Coturnix japonica: one gene and its partners. The protein of the gene in region 3 purifies or fractionates together with the protein of the main gene of each other region. This does not show direct contact. Links are inferred from orthologs where the notes say so. Each region holds a gene or a part of one and is shown on either strand. Other genes may lie near its edges. The genes, in order: TUBGCP6, TUBGCP4, NEDD1, CCT7 and C6H10orf88.

Evidence for each region.
Region 1: the proteins of NEDD1 (region 3) and TUBGCP6 purify together in Homo sapiens (affinity purification with mass spectrometry; 3 studies listed by BioGRID and IntAct, with this or other methods). This does not show direct contact. The link is inferred for Coturnix japonica from reciprocal best matches to the Homo sapiens genes NEDD1 and TUBGCP6.
Region 2: the proteins of NEDD1 (region 3) and TUBGCP4 purify together in Homo sapiens (affinity purification with mass spectrometry; 3 studies listed by BioGRID and IntAct, with this or other methods). This does not show direct contact. The link is inferred for Coturnix japonica from reciprocal best matches to the Homo sapiens genes NEDD1 and TUBGCP4.
Region 4: the proteins of NEDD1 (region 3) and CCT7 purify together in Homo sapiens (affinity purification with mass spectrometry; 3 studies listed by BioGRID and IntAct, counting the BioPlex papers as one, with this or other methods). This does not show direct contact. The link is inferred for Coturnix japonica from reciprocal best matches to the Homo sapiens genes NEDD1 and CCT7.
Region 5: the proteins of NEDD1 (region 3) and C6H10orf88 purify together in Homo sapiens (co-immunoprecipitation; 3 studies listed by BioGRID and IntAct, counting the BioPlex papers as one, with this or other methods). This does not show direct contact. The link is inferred for Coturnix japonica from reciprocal best matches to the Homo sapiens genes NEDD1 and C10orf88.

What each region holds. Positions count from the first base shown.
Region 1 is NC_029516.1:18,133,477-18,136,989, forward strand, and holds part of TUBGCP6 (gamma-tubulin complex component 6), read right to left. Parts: intron 2,965-3,513; coding exon 2,801-2,964; intron 2,236-2,800; coding exon 2,025-2,235; intron 1,544-2,024; coding exon 1,370-1,543; intron 300-1,369; coding exon 178-299; intron 1-177. UniProt on the Homo sapiens protein: Component of the gamma-tubulin ring complex (gTuRC) which mediates microtubule nucleation.
Region 2 is NC_029525.1:18,420,356-18,423,868, reverse strand, and holds part of TUBGCP4 (gamma-tubulin complex component 4), read left to right. Parts: intron 1-336; coding exon 337-442; intron 443-776; coding exon 777-884; intron 885-1,123; coding exon 1,124-1,262; intron 1,263-1,706; coding exon 1,707-1,884; intron 1,885-2,785; coding exon 2,786-2,920; intron 2,921-3,118; coding exon 3,119-3,235; intron 3,236-3,484; coding exon 3,485-3,513. UniProt on the Homo sapiens protein: Component of the gamma-tubulin ring complex (gTuRC) which mediates microtubule nucleation.
Region 3 is NC_029516.1:41,887,398-41,891,541, reverse strand, and holds the start of NEDD1 (protein NEDD1), read right to left. Parts: upstream 2,804-4,144; 5' UTR 2,698-2,803; intron 2,683-2,697; exon of another isoform or gene 2,583-2,682; intron 1,635-2,582; 5' UTR 1,627-1,634; coding exon 1,491-1,626; intron 380-1,490; coding exon 285-379; intron 1-284. UniProt on the Homo sapiens protein: Required for mitosis progression. Promotes the nucleation of microtubules from the spindle.
Region 4 is NC_029519.1:81,269,562-81,273,554, forward strand, and holds the start of CCT7 (T-complex protein 1 subunit eta), read right to left. Parts: upstream 2,805-3,993; 5' UTR 2,678-2,804; coding exon 2,672-2,677; intron 1,480-2,671; coding exon 1,099-1,479; intron 728-1,098; coding exon 602-727; intron 1-601. Other genes in the region: PRADC1 (protease-associated domain-containing protein 1), read left to right, coding at 2,956-3,046, 3,405-3,505, 3,694-3,803. UniProt on the Homo sapiens protein: Component of the chaperonin-containing T-complex (TRiC), a molecular chaperone complex that assists the folding of actin, tubulin and other proteins upon ATP hydrolysis.
Region 5 is NC_029521.1:27,968,769-27,972,742, forward strand, and holds the start of C6H10orf88 (ATPase PAAT), read right to left. Parts: upstream 2,812-3,974; coding exon 2,675-2,811; intron 2,561-2,674; coding exon 2,360-2,560; intron 2,149-2,359; coding exon 2,076-2,148; intron 1,361-2,075; coding exon 1,154-1,360; intron 555-1,153; coding exon 91-554; intron 1-90. Other genes in the region: disintegrin and metalloproteinase domain-containing protein 9-like, read left to right, coding at 3,805-3,974. UniProt on the Homo sapiens protein: ATPase that regulates mitochondrial ABC transporters ABCB7, ABCB8/MITOSUR and ABCB10. Regulates mitochondrial ferric concentration and heme biosynthesis and plays a role in the maintenance of mitochondrial homeostasis and cell survival.

The DNA of each region.
Region 1 (3,513 bases), about 24 Mb from region 3:
AAGACTTTACATGTTTTTCCAAGGGAACATAAAGAAATCTTGATGTGAAATTGCTGGAAGAATACCGAAAAATTATGTAAGAATGGCTGCCTAATACTCTCCTGTTTTGTAAAGGAAAAAAACAGACTGTAGTTTGTGTTTTATGGAAAGCTTAAATATTTAATGTTATTCTCTTACCTCAACTGACGGCCCAGTTTCCTGAAGAGAAAGCTGATGGTCAGAAGACTTAAAGTAGGAGGAGTAGACAAAACACAGGCTCGGTAATACTGAAGATACTTCCTCAGACCACTTGTGAAAGCCTATTGTCAACAGAAAATATTTACAAAGCCTTACTGGTAAAGCTGTTAATAGTTACTTATATCTCACATCAGTTGAACCGGCATGAAAATGAGCCTTTAATAAAATAATCTGCATGTAAAAGTAAGAGGGGCTCGTGTAGGAAAGTAAGAGTCCACATAACTTCAGGCATACAATTAACCAAATGACTCCTTTATACTCTTCCTACATGCTATGCACAAAGCCTGCACCCAGGCACACAATGAGCATTTTGGTTCACCTTCCTTGAACTGCCCTTTTGAAGGCATTCTGATTTTCTAGCAGCTTCATTATGAACCCAGGGAAACCTGTTTCCTTACTTCCATTCCTAAATTATGCAGTGGAAAAAGCTCCTATAAAAACATCTACTTTTTCCAGCATGACTTAGAATTAAATAAGACTTTTCTGTTCAATTTCTATTGACGTAACTGTAAATGAAATATTCAGGAGGCATATATTTTCATAACTAATCCTAAAAGAACTATATGCATTAGAAAGAGAAATGTACCTGGTATCATGCAGCTACACACAGTTCAGAAAAATATAAAGAGGGTTGACAAGTAAAATGTGCGCTTAATTCTGATCTAAGAAAAGTTATTAAAGCTATTAAATAGCATGTTTCTCTATTTTAGTATCAATGTAATGTATGCAATGTTATTTATATGCATACCGTATTAAGAAAGGTATTATATTTTATATATACATGTTATATATATATAAATGTTATACATTTTAACATATAAATGCTTCTAAATTCTGCCCCTTTAGATCTCAACAAAACCACACAACAAATCACAGTTCAAGTAATGAAGAGCTTTCATTTGTTGCTTTGGGGCAGACAAACCCTAAGCAACCACAGCTCCAATTTAAACAGGGCTCCACGGTGTCACTGTCCCTTGCTGACCCAGGATACATAAATACACATATTTGTATTGAAAATACTTCGCAGTTCTGCAGAAGGAAGAAATTCCAGCCTTATATGAAATCAAAGTTGTGTTCTCTGCCTAAAATAACTGGCCCATCAAACGTAAGTGATTTGACACAATGGTGCTACCTGAAACACAAGCCCTTTGCTGTACGAAGAATCTAAGACTGGCTGAAGGGAGAAGCGACTCAGCCGTGTGTAGTAGGTTCCATATTCCGCAACTTCTGAGAGCAGGTTGTGCATCGTCTCCGGCGAAGTTCCAGACACATAAACCCCCTCCTTTATTATAAATGTTTGAGCAGCCTAAAATGAAACAGGAGAGGAAAGCAAATAGGCTTCAAATATTACCCAGCTGCATTCTGATTTAAAACAGCAAACGTTTAGAGACAAATCTTCAGCATAGGTACTCTGGTAAATCATACTATATATGTAGGAAAATATAATAAGAGTATTAAATTGTAGCAAAACTTCAAAAGTGCATTTTCAAGTATGTCAAAAAAGATTAATTATAACAATTTTTCATGAAAACCCAGCCTACAACATTATTCAAACTTCTGTTTTCTGTAATTAGCTCATTTTTGCTAATTATTTTGACAAATACTTGTTCCCTGCCTATAAGTCGTTATTACAATGTACAGATGTGACGTTATCGCAATTAAGTCACACTTATCCTCTTAACACAACTGTGAGATCTCAAAATAAATCATGTATTGAAAAGGAGGTATCTAAGAAAAAAAAGAAAAAGCAAATGCAACTGAGAATTGCAGTTAAATACATTTCATACCTGGTTGAGTGAAAATGTAGTGGATACCACACCAATGAGGACATTCAAGACATCCTTCACCAGTTCAGGTTCCCTCATCAGCACAAGCTGTGGAAGCTGAAGTACGGTACTACTGAAAAGCTGCATTTCCCCCTCTCGGAGCTTGTAGAACTTGTCAAAAGCTTCTCTCCCAGCCTCAGTAAGGTACGGCTCCTCCTTCTTACCAGGTGGGCTGCCAGAGTAAACAAAATATTGGAAGGTGATTATGTGAGAAATAGATCTACCGCTTCCTAGCAGGGATTACCATCCCCTCCAAAACAAATTTCCCATCCAACTCTTCCAAACTCTTCACAGTTCTAGCAGTATTTCTTACAGGAAAGCTTCAGGTATATGGTCTGCATTTGACTTTTAAGGGTTTAATTCTTCTAGCAATTTCTCTTCTGAATCTGAAAAGATGAAATCATGTTAGGTTGAAATAAATTGCATTGTGTATGCAATGTTGCATTTCACATGATCAGAAAGTGTTGCCATAACTCCTTCAGTTTTTAGGTCTAAGATAATTTTTTCTTCCCATGAAACAGATGCAATCTAAAGGCTGGTTCGCTGAAATGGCATGATCTCAATCATTAATACATATATTGAATTCTACATATTAAATATGCATTAAATAGGAATACTGCATATTCCTATTGCATATTTAACTCCTATACTGAGGTCATTCAGAACTAAGATGAATTGCACCTTCATACATTCACATGTGAAGCACAGGAAGTTTGCCAATAACATCAGATACATACTATCCAATTCTTTCCCAGCATCTTCTTTTGCTTGGCCCATATGTAAGCACTGCATCCCACAGATCTATGTCTGGAGTCATGCTTGGCTCTGACTGAGAATCAGGAGTCAGATTGGATGCCGACTGGAATCCTTCATCTTCTGACTGGTCTATGCTTTGAGGAACCTGTCAGAGAGAGTTCAAGCTTTACGTATGAAAACATTACTAGAGAAACATATGCTGATAAAGATTTTGCTATTATTTGTGATCAAGTGACTCAATACGACTCAGCCAGTGCCCACTCCTTTCATCTCTAAGTTTCTCCTTTAAATGTTCCTTCACTTGTTCCATTTTCAAAGGCACCAATGCCTAAATATAAAACAACAATCAATCACCGCTGAAATAATAACACTAAGTTTCTTAATGTTAAAACTGAAACTTACTCCTCTGTATGCATGCAGTTCTAAGAAGAATAAAATGGCACTGCTCAGAAAGTCTTTTAAGCAGATTATTAATGATAACTCTTACAATTTGTACAAATGTTGTTAACACTTTGTTCTCTGATGCTTATTCAGATGCAGAAAACCCGTAAGTGTCCAGGCACTGCGTGTGCCACACTCTGATCTCAGGAGTTGTACATGAAGAACGGCACCCAGGCTTAATAAGATTATGATATCCACACAAAAAACACAGCATGTTCTTCAACAAATCTCAAATCCCAGTCTGATGGAGAGT
Region 2 (3,513 bases), on a different chromosome or scaffold from region 3:
GCAAATGCTTTACTGTCTTATGTTTTATACTTTCTTCTTTTAGGTAACTCTCTTTTCATTTCCCAAGATCATGAGTACAGTGATAGAACTTAGTCAGAGACAGAGTTAAAGGAGAAAATGTATGTGGTTTTGTGCTTTGCATCTCAGAGATTCATTTTATTGCTTGCAGTGCATTGCACTGTAGACTTTCTGGCCACTGGATGAAGTTTACAGCTCTCCAGCTGTGTTTTGAAATGGCAGAAATTGTCCAAGTAATCAAAAAGCATTACCAGTTATAATGCTTACTCTTTCTGCTCAGTTTTTTATATGCTTACATATAAAAACTTTTCTAAACAGATTATAAAAGACTTTTACCTTTTGGGAAGAGGCGAGCTGTTTCAGGCCTTCATTGACACTGCACAGCACATGTTAAAAACACCACCTACGGCTGTAACAGAACATGGTGAGTGCTGATTACTCATCTACAAAATGTCCTCCCTGTGCTCTGGCAGGAAAATAGTAAAGTCCAGTGCAGATTTCCTTATCTTATCCTCTGAATGTTTTCATTAGTTTTGAAAGAGCAGTACTTCTGAATTACAGAATAATGCACATTGGGCAAAAATAACATCTTTCAGTAACTTTCAGATGATAGCTTTCTCTCCGTATTGAAGAGCGAAGTTAAAGTAGTGAAAGTAGTGTTGGTCTTTTATGGCCCAACGTAAATAATTAATAGGTGCAAAATAAGCACTGTCCCTATCTTGAGTTTTCTGTTAATATTTGTGTTTTCTCTCTATCAGACATCAATGTTGCATTTCAGCAGTCTGCTCATAAGGTACTGTTAGATGATGACAACCTTCTTCCTTTGCTTCACTTGACCATTGAGTATCATGGAAAGGAGCATAAAGGTATCTATTTGAATTTTTAGTAATGAGTTAAGAGGGATTATGACAATGACCTGGTTTTCAAAATCCTACTGCTCTCATGTGGATTTAAGAAATATTAAATTCTCTTCCTTAACAGCCCTGTGTGATACCCTAGTTTGCTTTTCCTCTTCTTGTTCTGTTCTTTCCCCTTTTCATTCTTCTCTGGAAGGCTTTGCCTTGACTGAGAGAAAGACGTAACTGAGCACCTTATCTGTTTTCAGATTCTTCTCAGACTCGTGAAGGGACTTCCCGAGAGTTATCTCCACGTGAAGCTCCTGCATCTGGCTGGGCAGCTCTGGGCCTTTCTTACAAAGTTCAGTGGCCACTGCATATTCTCTTTACTCCTGCTGTTTTGGAAAAGTAAGTACTAAGTATTGTCTTTGTGTCTGGAAGCTCCCTGATCTCAGGCTTTTTTCCCTTATAGAGAGCATATAAAAGGTATCTACCTATCTAAAGGTAGAGCTTTAGCACCTGAGCTTGCTCACTGAGCCTTACTCTTCCTACTTAGCAATGTTGAGGTTACTTGTTGCAGATGAGGCCATGGCTGAGCTGTCAGCAAAACAGATCTGTCAAAACTTCACCAGCTCTTTTCTGGTAATGTTAGAATTTGTTTTGTTTTTTTTTGTAATCAATAACCAATACAATCGAATCTGTTACTGAAATTGGCTGCTACTTCATCTACCCTGTCTGTTGGCAGGCAACTATCTGCCATTTCTCTTTCCAGTCTTACACTGTTGTGTTCTCCAGTACCTGTAATCAAGAAAGAGTTCTGTCCTAAACAGCTTTGTTCTTTTTTGACTGTAGGTACAATGTTGTGTTCAAATACCTGCTCAGCGTGCGACGGGTCCAGGCAGAGCTACAGCATTGCTGGGCTCTCCAGATGCAACGTAAACACCTGAAATCTAACAGAACTGATGCCATCAAGTGGCGTCTGAGGGACCACATGGCTTTTCTTGTGGACAATCTCCAGTATTATCTCCAAGTGAGTATTAAACAGAGTTGAACTTGTATCACTTAATTGGGAACTGACAGAAATCTAGGGTGGGAGCTCTGAAGTTTTAAACTACAACTTTCTCCAAGTTCCCGGATTCAGTGCTACAACTGTACAGTTAGTGGATATGTGAATCAATAGAGTTTTAAGTATTAATGGAAATGCAAATGTTTCTGGCTCTCTAGTGCTATTAAGGAGCTGTGAGAAGCCCCACTTACCCCTGAAGCTAAATCAATAAGCTGCATCCTGTCTTGGTCCTTTGCCCCTTGAAGTGAACTCTACTTTGTTGAGTAACAGTGAGTTCTTTTGGGTGGTTTTGTGTTTGTTTCTTTTAGTTAGGATTTTTTTTTTTTAATTGAAAGAAGCCATGTTCTCAGTTTCAAATCCCAACAGTAGTTAGTAGTAGCATAATTTTGCAAAAATCAATTTGTTAATAGCTACAACAGTGGAATCTAGGGGGTCTGATTTTCAGGCTTTCTGGAGTAATGGCTCAAGCCTTTGCCCTGATGAGCATATTATGCAGGCTTTGCCCATTGCTGGTGAAAGTGCATAGTTAGTGGTGGTGACTGTATTGAAAAACAGTGCTTTGTAGCCGTGAATGTGATTTATCGTACAGAAACAAATAGATTGCTCCAAAAGTCATGCTTCCTAAGTACTTTTTTCACTAGTTAGAAATTAACTGTTTTTCTGCATTTGGGATCAGTTCTTTCCTTATTACTGTACTACTGTTGTATATAGAACTCCATTAATGACGCAGATAGAAATCAATGCTCAGCCTCTAATATAAGGGTAGCGGTAGGGAAAGCAAATTTCTTATACAACTTCTAGCTGGTCTGAGGTATTCCTATTCTTCTAGGAAGCTGTTAATGTAAACTCTTTGCATATTCATCAGGTGGATGTACTGGAATCTCAGTTCTCACAGCTTCTCCAGCAAATAAATGCCACACGAGATTTTGAGAGTATACGACTGGCTCATGATCATTTCTTAAGTAATCTGTTGGCTCAGTCTTTCATCCTCCTAAAGCCTGTAAGTAGATCTTGTTTTCAACTCTTTTTCTATAAGTTGTTTTTTCCTCAAGAAAAAGGGCCTTGGTGACTACTGAAAAATATGGCATTAATATCATCTGGATTATGAATGCTTTAATTTTCAGGAACTAAAAACAAACTTCCTCTGAGGCTGAGCTCTGTATGTAATTGGTAACCTGTACTTTTTTTCCCTGTACAGGTTTTCCACTGTTTAAATGAAATTCTGGACCTTTGTCATAGTTTTTGTTCTCTGGTGAGTCAGAATCTGGGACCGTTAGATGAGCGTGGAGCTGCACAACTCAGTATTCTGGTGAAGGTGAATGTCTATTGATATGGTCTTGTTCATCTCCCTTGCAAACAGCTAAGCTTTAACTTTACTCTTGTTCTACGCTGAGATCAGACCTTCTGTGTGGACACTCAGAATTACTTGAATTAATCAATATCACCTTTTGGCTGCACCTAATTGTTTCGGCTCACAGGTTACCTTATAGTAGACCTCAAGCAAAAATCTTTTGCAGTGATACTTTTGAGAGGCTTTCCTGAACAGGTTTCCTGTAATTTGTAGGGGTTCAGTCGTCAGTCGTCGCTGCTCTT
Region 3 (4,144 bases):
CAGGACTCCCAATTAAATGAACATTACAGTAGCTACTTAAGGAGAACAACAAGAATGGCTTAGATTACAAGGAGTCACTGGAGTAACCCTGTCAAAACCAAGTCTGGCTTTCTGAAGAGTTTATAGTGCCACCTGTCCCCTTCACATTCACTTTTCACCCCTCTAAAATCCAACTGACAATCAATGTGCAGGAGAGATGAGATGCAAACAGCACACAAGATGGTTTGGGGACACATACATACATACACACACACACACACACACACACACAACCCCATACTTACTCCTTCAGCTACTTCAAAGAGTGGAACAGGTTTACTTTTGCAGCTTGACACAACGATTTTATCCCCAGCAGCTGAAGCACTGACCAGGAAGCTATCTTAGGGACAAGTTATGGATGATAACCATATCAAACTTTCAATTGCATTAATAGCAACCGTGAGTCTCCCGTACTGGAAAGCTAACAGGAAACCAAACTATCTGCAGTACTTCACCTTGAAGGGCCCTAGAAATAGAAACATAAGGCTACTTAATGAGCTTCCCCTAAGAAGCTCTCGTAGCGTTTGCAGCTCTTGCTTCCCAATACAAAGCAGTGCCATTTCTTTCAGAGGAGAAATATCGGGCAGATATTGTTTAAGAGCTCTTCCCTGTGGCAGCTCACCCAGTTCCTTTTTAACCCCACCAGCCCAAGTACAAGCTCCTTTATCACTGGAGTTCAGAGTGACACCTGCTGCTGCTACCAGAACAAATTGAAAGAGCAAAAGAATTTGACTGAGAAGTCCTGCACGTGATAAATGTTAATTAAAGCAGTTTGTCTAATTGTCCCTGGAATACAATAAATACGTTTGCTAGCTTGTCTCTGTCTGTATGGGGGAGGGGGAAAGGAAGAAAATACCTTTTATTGCACCAAGTAGGTCAAAGCGCTAAGAAAAGCCTCCAGTATAGGAGCAGAGTAAGGAAACTGGCCCTGCACCCAACCCCAAACTATTTGGGTAATCACTCAGATCTGCATCCCCTACGTCTTCAGGCTGATACCCATTGTGATTCTATATTTGCTTACTAAGGAGACTTACTAAGAACTTATAGGACTGCATTTGACACCACAGAATCATTAAGTTGGAAAAGACCACTAAGATCATCTAGTCCAACTATAAGGTGATATGCAGAGTGGTGACTTTATTTTGAGACATTTTAGCTTAAAGAACTATGCAGAATGAAACCCAACTGTTTAACCTAACAAGCATATGGAGCGGGATGCTGTTCAGCTCTGGAGACAGGGATAAAGAGATAAAGCAAGTAGGACAAAAGTGTCTATGCTCAAGTTTACTTATCGACACAGACATATATAGATGTGTGTGTATATAGACATAGTAAATATACATACACACGCACATTTGTATGCACAAAAATACACAGATCTTGTTTCTCTCCCCTTCCTGCTACACTTAATCACCGCAGAGCACCCACAGAACTGAAGCTGTAAAGGATACTATTGGCGGCCCAGCACAGAGAGCTGATGGGATGCGGAGATGTATGTGGGTTGAACTGCTCCACCACAGTCAGAGATGAGGAATCCCATATCTTAATGTCATCTCCTGATGAAGCAAAACGAATGCTCTCTTGCATGGCTGCACCTAATTTGCAAAGAAAATAATAATAATAATAAAATTAATGAAGAACACACAACAGGTCACTTTACAAGTCGAGAACAGCCCCATTCAACACCGTTCCCTCGAGAACAAGGTGATTTACTTGAAACGTGACACTACAAGGTCTTTTTTAAGGCAGCTCACAAATGAAGAATCATAGAATCACAGAATTGTAGGGGTTGGAAGGGACCTCTAGAGATCATCGAGTCCAACCCCCCTGCCAAAGCAGGCTCCCTACACCATGTCACACAGGTAGGCGTCCAGGCGGGTCTTGAATATCTCCAGAGAAGGAGACTCCACCACCTCCCTGGGCAGCCTGTTCCAGTGCTCCGTCACCCTCACTGTAAAGAAGTTCTTGTGCACATCGGTGCAGAACTTCCTATGCCGTAGTTTCATCCCATTACCCCTAGTCCTATCCCCACGCACTACTGAAAAGAGACCAGCCTCACCACCATGGCCCCCACACCTCAGGTATTTATAAACCTGGATCAAGTCCCCTCTCAGCCTTCTTTTCTCAAGGCTGAACAGACCCAGTTCACGTAGTTTCTCCTCATAGGGGAGATGCTCCAGGCCCTTCACCATCTTAGTGGCCCTCCGCTGGACTCTTTCCAAGAGATCCCTGTCTTTTATGTACCGGGGAGTCCAGAACTGGATACAATATTCCAGAAGCAGGAAAACCCGCCGTGTTGCAGCACTGTGCTGCGGCTGGGAGCCGAGGCCCATCCCTGTGGAGCTTACACCCGGGTAACCTGAAGCACCAGCAGCACCAACACACGCTGAGAGGCCTCCAGCCGGGAGCTCTGACGGGACGCTCCCACACGGCTTCGCTCTCCGCTCCCCCTCACTCAGAAGCAGAAGCTGACGGTGATCCCCCCGACCCCCATCCCTGCCGCTCCACAGGTTCCCTCAGCATCTCTGGGCCCCGCCGCCCACCTTCCCCTCCCCGCCCGGCGGCGGCTCCTCAGTGCCCGTGCCCGGCAGCAGGAGCGGGCCGCTCCGATGCGCTCAGCAGCCGCCGCTCGCGGTTCTGTCCGGTTCCGCTACTCACCGCCGACTTTCCGCGCCTCGTCCAACTTCACAACCCGTCCCAACAGCCCCCGCGCGTACCCGCCTCCCAACGCCGCTACGGTGGCCCGGAGGGGACGAGAGAAGCCGGGCGGGGCGGGGCTGGAGGGGTGCGGGTGCTGGATGGGATATAGCCGGTGTTCAACCATAGAGCATCGCTGTGCTTGTGGGTTAGCACTGAGGGGTGGCAAAGTGAGAGTGAGAGTTACTACTTAGTTGAGTAGAATCCTCAATGATTCATTCTCATTATCTCTTGTTTCAAAGTGGAAAATTAAATTGCACTGGTTAATATTTCACTTCTGCGCTTGCCCCTGGACCCTTCCACCCTCATAAACCTATGCTTCGTGTTTTCATTTCTCCCATTTGATGATATACTCGGTATCTGTAACACAAAGAGGATCTTTGGCAAACATTAATGGAACTCTCTGCTAGCTTAATTAGTTCAGCATATTAGCCTGTAATTCCAACAATTAATTCGAGTTCCCTCATTATTCAGTGTTTAAAATCTTTATTCTTGGATTTGACTGAAAGCGGTTTTGGAAACAACTGGCTGCTCCTTTTACACTGCGAATCAATTTCTTAATAACTTCAATCCTCCGCCTCTTTAATTCAAGGATCTGAAAACATTTTCCAGATGTCGATGCAAAAAGCTCCATAATACACAGCGATGAAGGGATCGCTGTCATCATCCAATAAAGAAACTGAGGCATAGAGCGGCTCATTACCGGGATTATTCTGTTAGATTGCTGGCTTCCAAATACTGGGGAAATCCTGATGCCAAACAAAACGTGAACGTGAGCTGGAGCTGTAGTGGGAATTAAAAACCACTCACATACAATTGAATAAATCTGTGTGTGAAATTACCGATTTCCACATCGTCAAATTAATTTAAGCAGAAATAATTCCAAGTTGCTGGATATCTGTTGGTGCGAGACAGATCCTCCGAGTGCCACAATTGGGGGGGGAGGGAATATTAGTTAAGAATATATCAAAGCAGAATTTGAAAGAATGAAATAAACATAAAAAAATAAATAAATAAGCACCTCCAGAGTTGTCAGTGCATTCAGTTCCATTCAGTTTCAATCTGAGGCCCACCACAGCCTGGGACATGCAGTTATTCGTTACAGGACCAGAAGCTTTATTTTTGCTTGCTGGTTTCTTACTACATTCAGCTCACAGAACAGAGAACACCAAAGGAATGTAAAGGAAATGCTGCTTTTACTTTTCTTTGGTTCCCAGTAGGAGCCATCCTGTGCATCATCCAGGAGATGCACTGCAGATAAACGCTGTGCATTCTGCAGTCCTTTCAACTTGTCCCCACGGTACTCTCTCTTCCCTTACACTATCCCACAGCTTATCAGATCTGGAAATACTACCAATTCCTTTTCCAGATGTGGAATGGAGACAAACTTTCAGCTACAATGAAAAGA
Region 4 (3,993 bases), on a different chromosome or scaffold from region 3:
ATTCCGACTGCTGTAACACTTCCCGCTTTAATGATTACATGCTAAATGAATTACAGAATCACAGAATGGCCTGGGCTGAAAAGGCCCACGATAATCATCTGGTTTCAACCCCCTGCTATGGGCAGGGTCATCAACCAGCAGACCAGGCTGCCCAGAGCCACATCCAGCCTGGCCTTGAATGCCTGCAAGGATGGGGCATCCACAGCCTCCTTTGAGCAACCTGTTCCAGTGTGTCACCACCCTCTGGGTGAAAAACTTCCTCCTAAGATCCAACCTAAACCTCCTGTTTATAACCATTCCCCCTTGTCCTATCACTATCCACCCTCATTAACAGCTGTTCCCCCTCCTGTTTACATATTCCCTTCTATTTTCCAAGCTAAACAAGCCCAGTTCCCTCAACTTTTCTTCATAGGAGAGGTGTTCCAGAGTAATTTCCTCCTTCTTACACCATAAAAAAATAACTTTTAACAGACTCTGGTGGGATTTTACTGTGATCCTCATATGTTTAAAAGCCTTCTAACCCAGTGAAAAGGAAAAATGGAATAAAACAGGAAAAAAAAGACCAAGCAGAGCCACCCCATTCTGCACAGTGCTGCCTTACCAACTGTGTGGCTGTGCGGAAGGCACGGATGATGATCTGAGGATGAAGGCCTTCCTCCACGTAGGGCTTCACTTGTTTCAGGAACTCAGCAGCAAGCAGAGTTACGGACGTGGTGCCATCACCAACCTGTATGGACAGAACACTTTAGTCACCTATGTACAGCAGAGGCCTCCAGAGGAAAACAGACTTCCTAACTCTCATTGCTCACAGAACTGTGGCTGATTCCTTCAGTGATTAAGCACAAGCTGGGTTCAGACTGCACTCTGTTTGAAGTTTCCCATCTCCCAGCCACCTCTGTTCATGACATTTTGCATCCATAAAGCCTCCAAACCCTTCTACTAAATCTGGCAGAAAACCCAGCCAAGCGTTTTAAAGTTATCACAAAAAAGATGAAAGCAATGAAGAAACCAGGATAAACAGCAGCACGCCACAACCGAGTTTGACCACTTAACGCAAAGCCAACATGCTGCTGCATCCTGTCCAGGTTACCCTCCTACCTCTGCATCCTGAGATTTAGCAATGTCCACCAACGTCTTCGCAGCCGGATGGACAACATCAAGGAGCTTCAGGATGGTGGCCCCGTCGTTAGAGATGGTGGCTTTGCCTACAAGAAATTCAGAAAAAGAAGCTAAGCCCCAAATAAAGCTCTTACTGCCTTGAAACAACACACATCGAACAGAGCTTTCCCAGTCTTGCTGTAGAGAGGCTGCTGTGCAGTGCTCACCTCTGTCATCCACAATGAGTTTGTCCATGCCCCGTGGTCCCAGGGTGGTGCGTACAGCCTCGGCGATCACCTGGCAGGCATTGATGTTGCTGACGAGCTGAGGAATCCCCTGCGAGGTGTCAGTGCCCTCCTTCAGCAGGATAACCGGTGTTGGCTGAGGAGAGAAACCAGGACAGAGCTGTTAGTCCAATCTCAACACGCAGCCCAGCAAGTTCACACTATTAACAAAGTTCACAAACTAACTGAGCTGAGAATCATAGAACTCACAGCATCATAGAATGGTCTGAGTTGAAAAGGACCACAGTGATCAACTGGTTTCAACCCCCTGCTATGGGCAGGGTCACCAACCAGCAGACCAGGCTGCCCAGAGCCACATCCAGCCTGGCCTTGAATGCCTGCAGGGATGGGGCATCCACAGCCTCCTTGGGCAACCTGTTCCAGTGCATCACCACCCTCTGGGTGAAAAACTTCCTCCTAAGATCCAACCTAAACCTCCCCTGTCTCAGTTTCAAACCATTCCCCCTTGACCTATCACTACAGCTTCCTTCCCTACAGCACAGCCCTATGAAGTCCCGATTTCAGTGCCCAGACTGTTAAGGACAGCCCTGCTCAGCAGAATAACCACAACAGTCTGCATGACCCCAAGGATGCTGAAAAACATGCTCACATTTAGCACATGGAGAACAATATCAAAGTGGTTACAGCTCAAGCATTCAGATAGGGGCTATAAAATACCAAAGGCAAAACCTCCTGTGCTCCAGGAGATGGCCTGCCCTTAAAGTGACCAGACATGCCCTGCAGGCAAAGCTTTATGCCCTAGCACCACCCAGTTTTGTTAGGTACCCTGATTGAAGTAACTGCTTGGAGGCAAAGGGGAATATTACACCATGAGTGCTGCACTGTATGATGTCTACACTGAAAAATGCTGCCAAGGGCCTGGGGGGGAGCAGAAAAGGGAAAAAAGGAAAGGGGGTTATGAGCATCACCGCCACCTACACCCTATAGAGATCTCTTTGAATGGGAACACGCCGTATCCCGCACCCTGCCCGCTCCCCAGCATCGCTATGTGGGCTCAGAGCATCCACAATGACCGACCCACCCCTCTATCCCCGGCCTATGGGTCCCATCTCACACCGCTGGGACCCCCGGGGCCTACTCCCTCACACAGCCCCGTGTAGGCCCCAGGCCCAACCCCGCCGCCATCCCCCCCTCCCGGCCGCCATCCCCCCCTCCCAGCCGCCCCAAACGCCGCTCGGCTCCACCACAACGGCTCCCACAGCCTCACGGAGGCCGAACGAGCCGACACGGAGCGATACAGCACGCGGATGGCGGAGGATTGCGCTCACCATCATGGCGGCGCTCCTCGCTGCCGCTCCCTGCACCGAGCCAGGCCCGCACCCACAATGCACCGCGCCGCCCAGAAGCTTCCCTGAGCCACGGCTTCCGGCCGCGCTCTATGGTGAGGGAGGACAGAGCGGCCGCAGCGAGGCGCCCTTCTTTCCCCCAATGACCATAGAGATGAAGCGACGGGCGCCAACCGCTGCGGCGGAGCGAGATGACAGGAGCGGCGGTCCCGGTGAATGGCAGCAGCGCCAACCAATAGGAAGGCTCGCTCGGAGTAGCTCCTCCAATGAGCGCGGGGTGGGGCGGGGCGCTGAGCGCAGCCATGCTCCGCCGCTCGCTATGGCTCTGGCTCTATCTCTGCTCCTGCCCGGGACGCGGTGAGTGCCGCCCCCCATAGACCCCCACCGACCCCTGTGACCCCACCCGGCTGCTTTGAGCCCCCCATATCCCGGCTATGCCCTATAGCGCTTCCCCTCGGTGCTCCGTGGCCTAATGGGCCCCTTTCTCCCTCAATCTGGGTGTATTTCCCCGACTTGACCCAATTTCCCCTCAATTCACCCCAATCTAGTTGTATTTTACCTCGGAGCACACTGGCCCTTCCATACATCACAATCCGAGTTCATTTTCCTCCTATACACACAAACCTGGCTGCATTTCCCCTCCCTATATAGGCTCAGTTATTCCCCATTTACTTTCCTAATCCTCCCATTTCCTCCCTTCTATTTCTCCCTACAGCTTTACGTATCCATGAGTATCTCTATTTCCAAGTGCTGAGCCCTGGAGACATCCGCTATATCTTCACTGCCACTCCAGCCAAAGACTTCGGTGGGGTGTTTGTAAGTATTAAGAACTCAATTCAGCTTCCCCATCCTTCTGTTCCTCCACTGCACGGCCTTAAAACCTTCTATAAGAATAGATCCAATTGCTTTTCTACAAGCTTTCCCTTTGGCTTGTGCTGGAGGGGATGAGCGGGGTTGGGAACAACCCTGATCCTACTCACTCCCTCCTTGTTTCATGCTTGGAGAACACAAGGTATGACCAGATCCACCTGGTGCCAGCAGATCCCCCCGAGGCCTGTGGAGAGCTGAACAATGGGGTCTTCATCCAGGACCAGATTGCTTTGGTGGAGAGGGGGTACGTGTCTGTTTTCTATTTATCCAGAGTCTGAGGTTCTGAGTGAGGGATGATGCCAGGCAAACAATCCCTATAGTCCCCATAGTCCCTGTCTTGTGCATCATCTACTGGGCAAGCTTTGGTATTAAGGCTGGTAAAGACAAGACATTGAGTTCAACCATCAACCCACCCAACCATCCCCACTGACCAC
Region 5 (3,974 bases), on a different chromosome or scaffold from region 3:
TGCACTGTTGGTACAAACAGTGAGAATAAAATGCTTGTGTACTCATTTAGACTTGCTAATACGCACAAGCTGCTAGTTAAGTTAACTTACCCAACAGTTTGAATGCCCTCTTCTTTAGTCACCACGCTTTTATCGAGATGCCTTTCACTGTCTTTTAGCCGAAGATGATTAACTTGACTGCATAAGTTCTGAAGAAAAGGAAGGAGCATCTGTGGGGCAGCTACGTTCCGCATTCCATCTGTTTGCTCCTGCATAAGCAAAGACCCCATAGCTTTGAAATAATTTCTGAGGTCAGCTGTATTCTGCTGTGTATTAAGTTCTTTAGAGTTAGAAACATCCTCTCCTTCAGGAACCTGTGCTTTCAGATCAAGATTTAAGTTTTCACATCCTGTTTCACTTGTTAAAGGACTTCTGACTGATGAAGATTCAGTGACTGATTGATGTAGTGATGTCTGAATGGCTGCACCATGTAATCCATCTACCGGATGCTTGTTTCCAAAGTCTGAGTTCTTCCCAAACATCCAACTAAGTTTGTCTCCAAGAGGTAAACTGTTCTGATGGGAAGAAGAAAGGTACATTTAAACATTAAGTGCTAAAATATACTGAAGGTTGTGCTGTAACAGCACCCAGGCTACAAGTTTAACTCCAAGTGATTAGAGCATTCTACTAGCATGATATAATGACTTAAAAAGTAGCTGTGAATTATATTCATAGGGCAAAGCATAGAAAAACTTTCCTTGCATGTGCTGTGCTTGTTACCTTGTTGCTCTGAGTAACAAAACAACTTCACTTACTTCATGTCATGCATTTAATAACAACAAAGTCAAACTCATCCATCTACTTACACCCCAAGCGCAACAAGAAACATGTCCACCAATGAAGAAATCACAAGAAGTGACAAGTGAAATGGACAAGCGGACAACAGGGCGACAGTGGAGATGAAAATGATGACAATGATGCAACGCTCTTAACTCTGATCTTTATGTGACTCCTTGAGTTCTTAATTCACTGCAGCATTTAAGAGCAGCAACAGGAAAGCCAAAAACAACCAGAACTTTTTCCACTGAATCAGCTTAGAAGGTGCTTAACTGTCACAGGAGGCAAAGTCACAGAACAGCGCTATTGATGTCTATGGAGCAGCACAGTAACTTACTTTCTGCTGATATCGAACCATGTCCATGAGTTGCTGAGCACCTGGAGACAACTTGGATCCCATAGAGTCCATTATAGTTTGCACTCTGTCTAGATCTATGCTTGATCCTAGTGAAGGAAAATCAGTTGCTAGTTTTGCTGAAACTGTATTCACTTGTACAATTATCTTACTGATGAGTACCCTTTGTTTCTCACCAATGGAGAGCAGCTATTGCAAGAAGGAAAAAAGGTATCTTGGTTAGGAAGGAAAAAAACACAATTCAATGGTTTCTTTGCATGAATACGTTAGGAATTCAAGTTGATTTCTTTCTCTTGGTCAGAATTCTGACTCAACAGAAGTTACTTGCATGATCAAAGCATCAATTAGTACTTAAATACAGCAATAGCTGTATAGGTTTTCCTAAGCTTATTTATCTGCATCACGGGGTTCCCATTACCAGTGTACACATTCACAGTGTAGTTAGTAGTTCTGATTATATTACAACTGCAGATTGCCTATAATGTATTTGGTTTATGAAGGCATTTCTGTATGAGGTAACAACTTTCTCATATGTGACTTCATAGATAGAAAATTAAGAGAGCTATAAAGGCCATACAACAGTCTTAAGTGGTAATGTGATTATGGTATAGAAATAACAGTAATTGGGGGAAGGGTAATGCAATTTAGCCAATCAAATGATTGAATATCACACAGAATGACCTGGGTTGGAAGGGACCTCAAGGATCATGTAGTTCCAACCCCCCTGCCTGGCAGGGCCACCGAACATACACCTTTACTACATCAGGTTGCCCAGGAGACCCCATAGATCCCCATAGAGACCCCATAGATCAGGTTGCCCAGGGCCCCATCCAACCTGGTCTTGAACACCTCCAAGGACGGGAAAAGACAACGAGAAGTGATAGATTTCCACCAAACTCCCTACCTTAATCCTACAAGAGGTCGCCGGGCATTCCAATTTCAGATACTTTTCGTATAAACTCACACTTTCAGTTTCACTGCAAAAACAAAAGGAGCAATCTGTGACACCACACGTATTTCTTAGGGCAGTGCGGCAGTTTTAATGTTGTGATTCCTTGTGTGTGTGCACAGCACGGGTCAGCACAGCTGCAAATGACAGTTTTCATTTAACTCATTAAGCAGACGTGCCTCACAACCAATTAAAAACAAATAAAATCCATCAGCTCCCAGCTGTGTTTCCTCACTCACCCCGGGGGCTGCATGCCTCCAGCGCTCATCCCACGGCCGGTCCCGCAGTACTCCTCTCCCACGTACACCTCCATGTGCCGGGCCTCGCTCACCACACCGACCTTCTCCACCCGCTGTGCTCCGTTCCGGCACTCCAGCTGCAGCACACACGGCGTACCCCCGCCGCCATCCCGCCGCTCCACCACCACCACGGCCTCACAGCTGAGGAGGGAAGCGGGGAGAGCCGCGTTGCCTCTCCAGGCCGCCTCCCCACCCCGGCCCTCCGCCGCCCCTCGGCCGCAGGGCTTCTGCTACCTCCTCCTCGTCCTCCCTCACCTCGTTTCATCGCAGCCCGCCCCGCTCCGCACACATAGAGCCCGGGTCAGGCCGTCGGGCGGCTCGCAGGGCCACGAGCAGCCCACGGTCACGCCATGCAGGGCAGGCGCAAGGCCCAGAGCGCCGCCGCTCGCCATCACCAGGCCGGGGCAATGCGCATGCGCGGGGCGGGCTTGAGCTCTCCTCAGTGCTTCAGGAGTTGATGGAGTTTTGTATCGCCTTGTTGTGCTTATGGCATGTTAATAGTGTGACACGTAGAGAGCAGAGCATGAATTAAAGATTGAGCTCGTTTAATTTGCAGTAGGATCCAGGCTTATGGAGTCTCTTTACGTTTTGGTGTGGATACGAGTCTAGGGAGCTCGGATATCGAGTTCTTGTGGGCTGAGGGAGGTGAATTAGGGCTGTGGAATAGGAAGATGGATTTGCATTGTCCTTATTCAGTACAACACGACTGCTAATATCTCTGACTTTTGTTTTATTTTTGCACTTGAGCCGTTATTTCATGCTACTGACCAGCACTAGGAGAAACGGCTTCGCTCTGCTTTAATTTACAATTCATTAAAATTAATTACTTCATGTAAATGTCTTAAGTGTGAATGCTGTGTTGCCTGGGTCTCCTGTTTGGGTTTCTAAGGCTGCTCAGTGCTTCTGAAATGCGTTGTGTGTTCACTCAGCTTTAGGAGCATTCATTTCCTTCCTAATCTTGATGCTGATGTTGTTGCTTGGTGCTTTGGAAGGTTATTCTGATCCTGGAAGAGCGATGAAGCCTTCAAAATCACAGGCTTTTGGTGAGGAGAATTATCCTTAATGCAGGGGGGGTGTGGCTGAAATCCCTGTGTTAGATGTAGCTGTGTTGGTACGCACTGCAATTTAAGTATTTCTAAGATAAACTAATAGAAAACAAGTAGCTGGAATTCCAGAGAGCACATAAATGTCTCAAATATCACAGCTAGCAAGACCTGACACTTTGAGTCTCACATAACCTCTGTTATGTGGTTACAGTCAAAGTCCTTCAGAAGGAACCAGCTCGGTTCTGGCATGATGTGGCTGTCTGCCTCCAATCAGCATTTCAGAGCGCTGCTTTTTGTTTGCCTTAAGCTGCTTAACCAGTTTTCTTGCAAGCCTAATGGATGAACTTTTACTTCCCGGTTTCCTTAGCAGAGATGAAGTATCCGAGAGCCTTTTCTGTTGTTTACCTTCAGAGCAGACTGTTCCTCATTCTTCTAGTTCCGTGTGGAGCAGCTGAGAGCCAGGTGTCTGCAGGGAATCTAGTCATGCTAAAGCACGGCCTGCTTTTCTT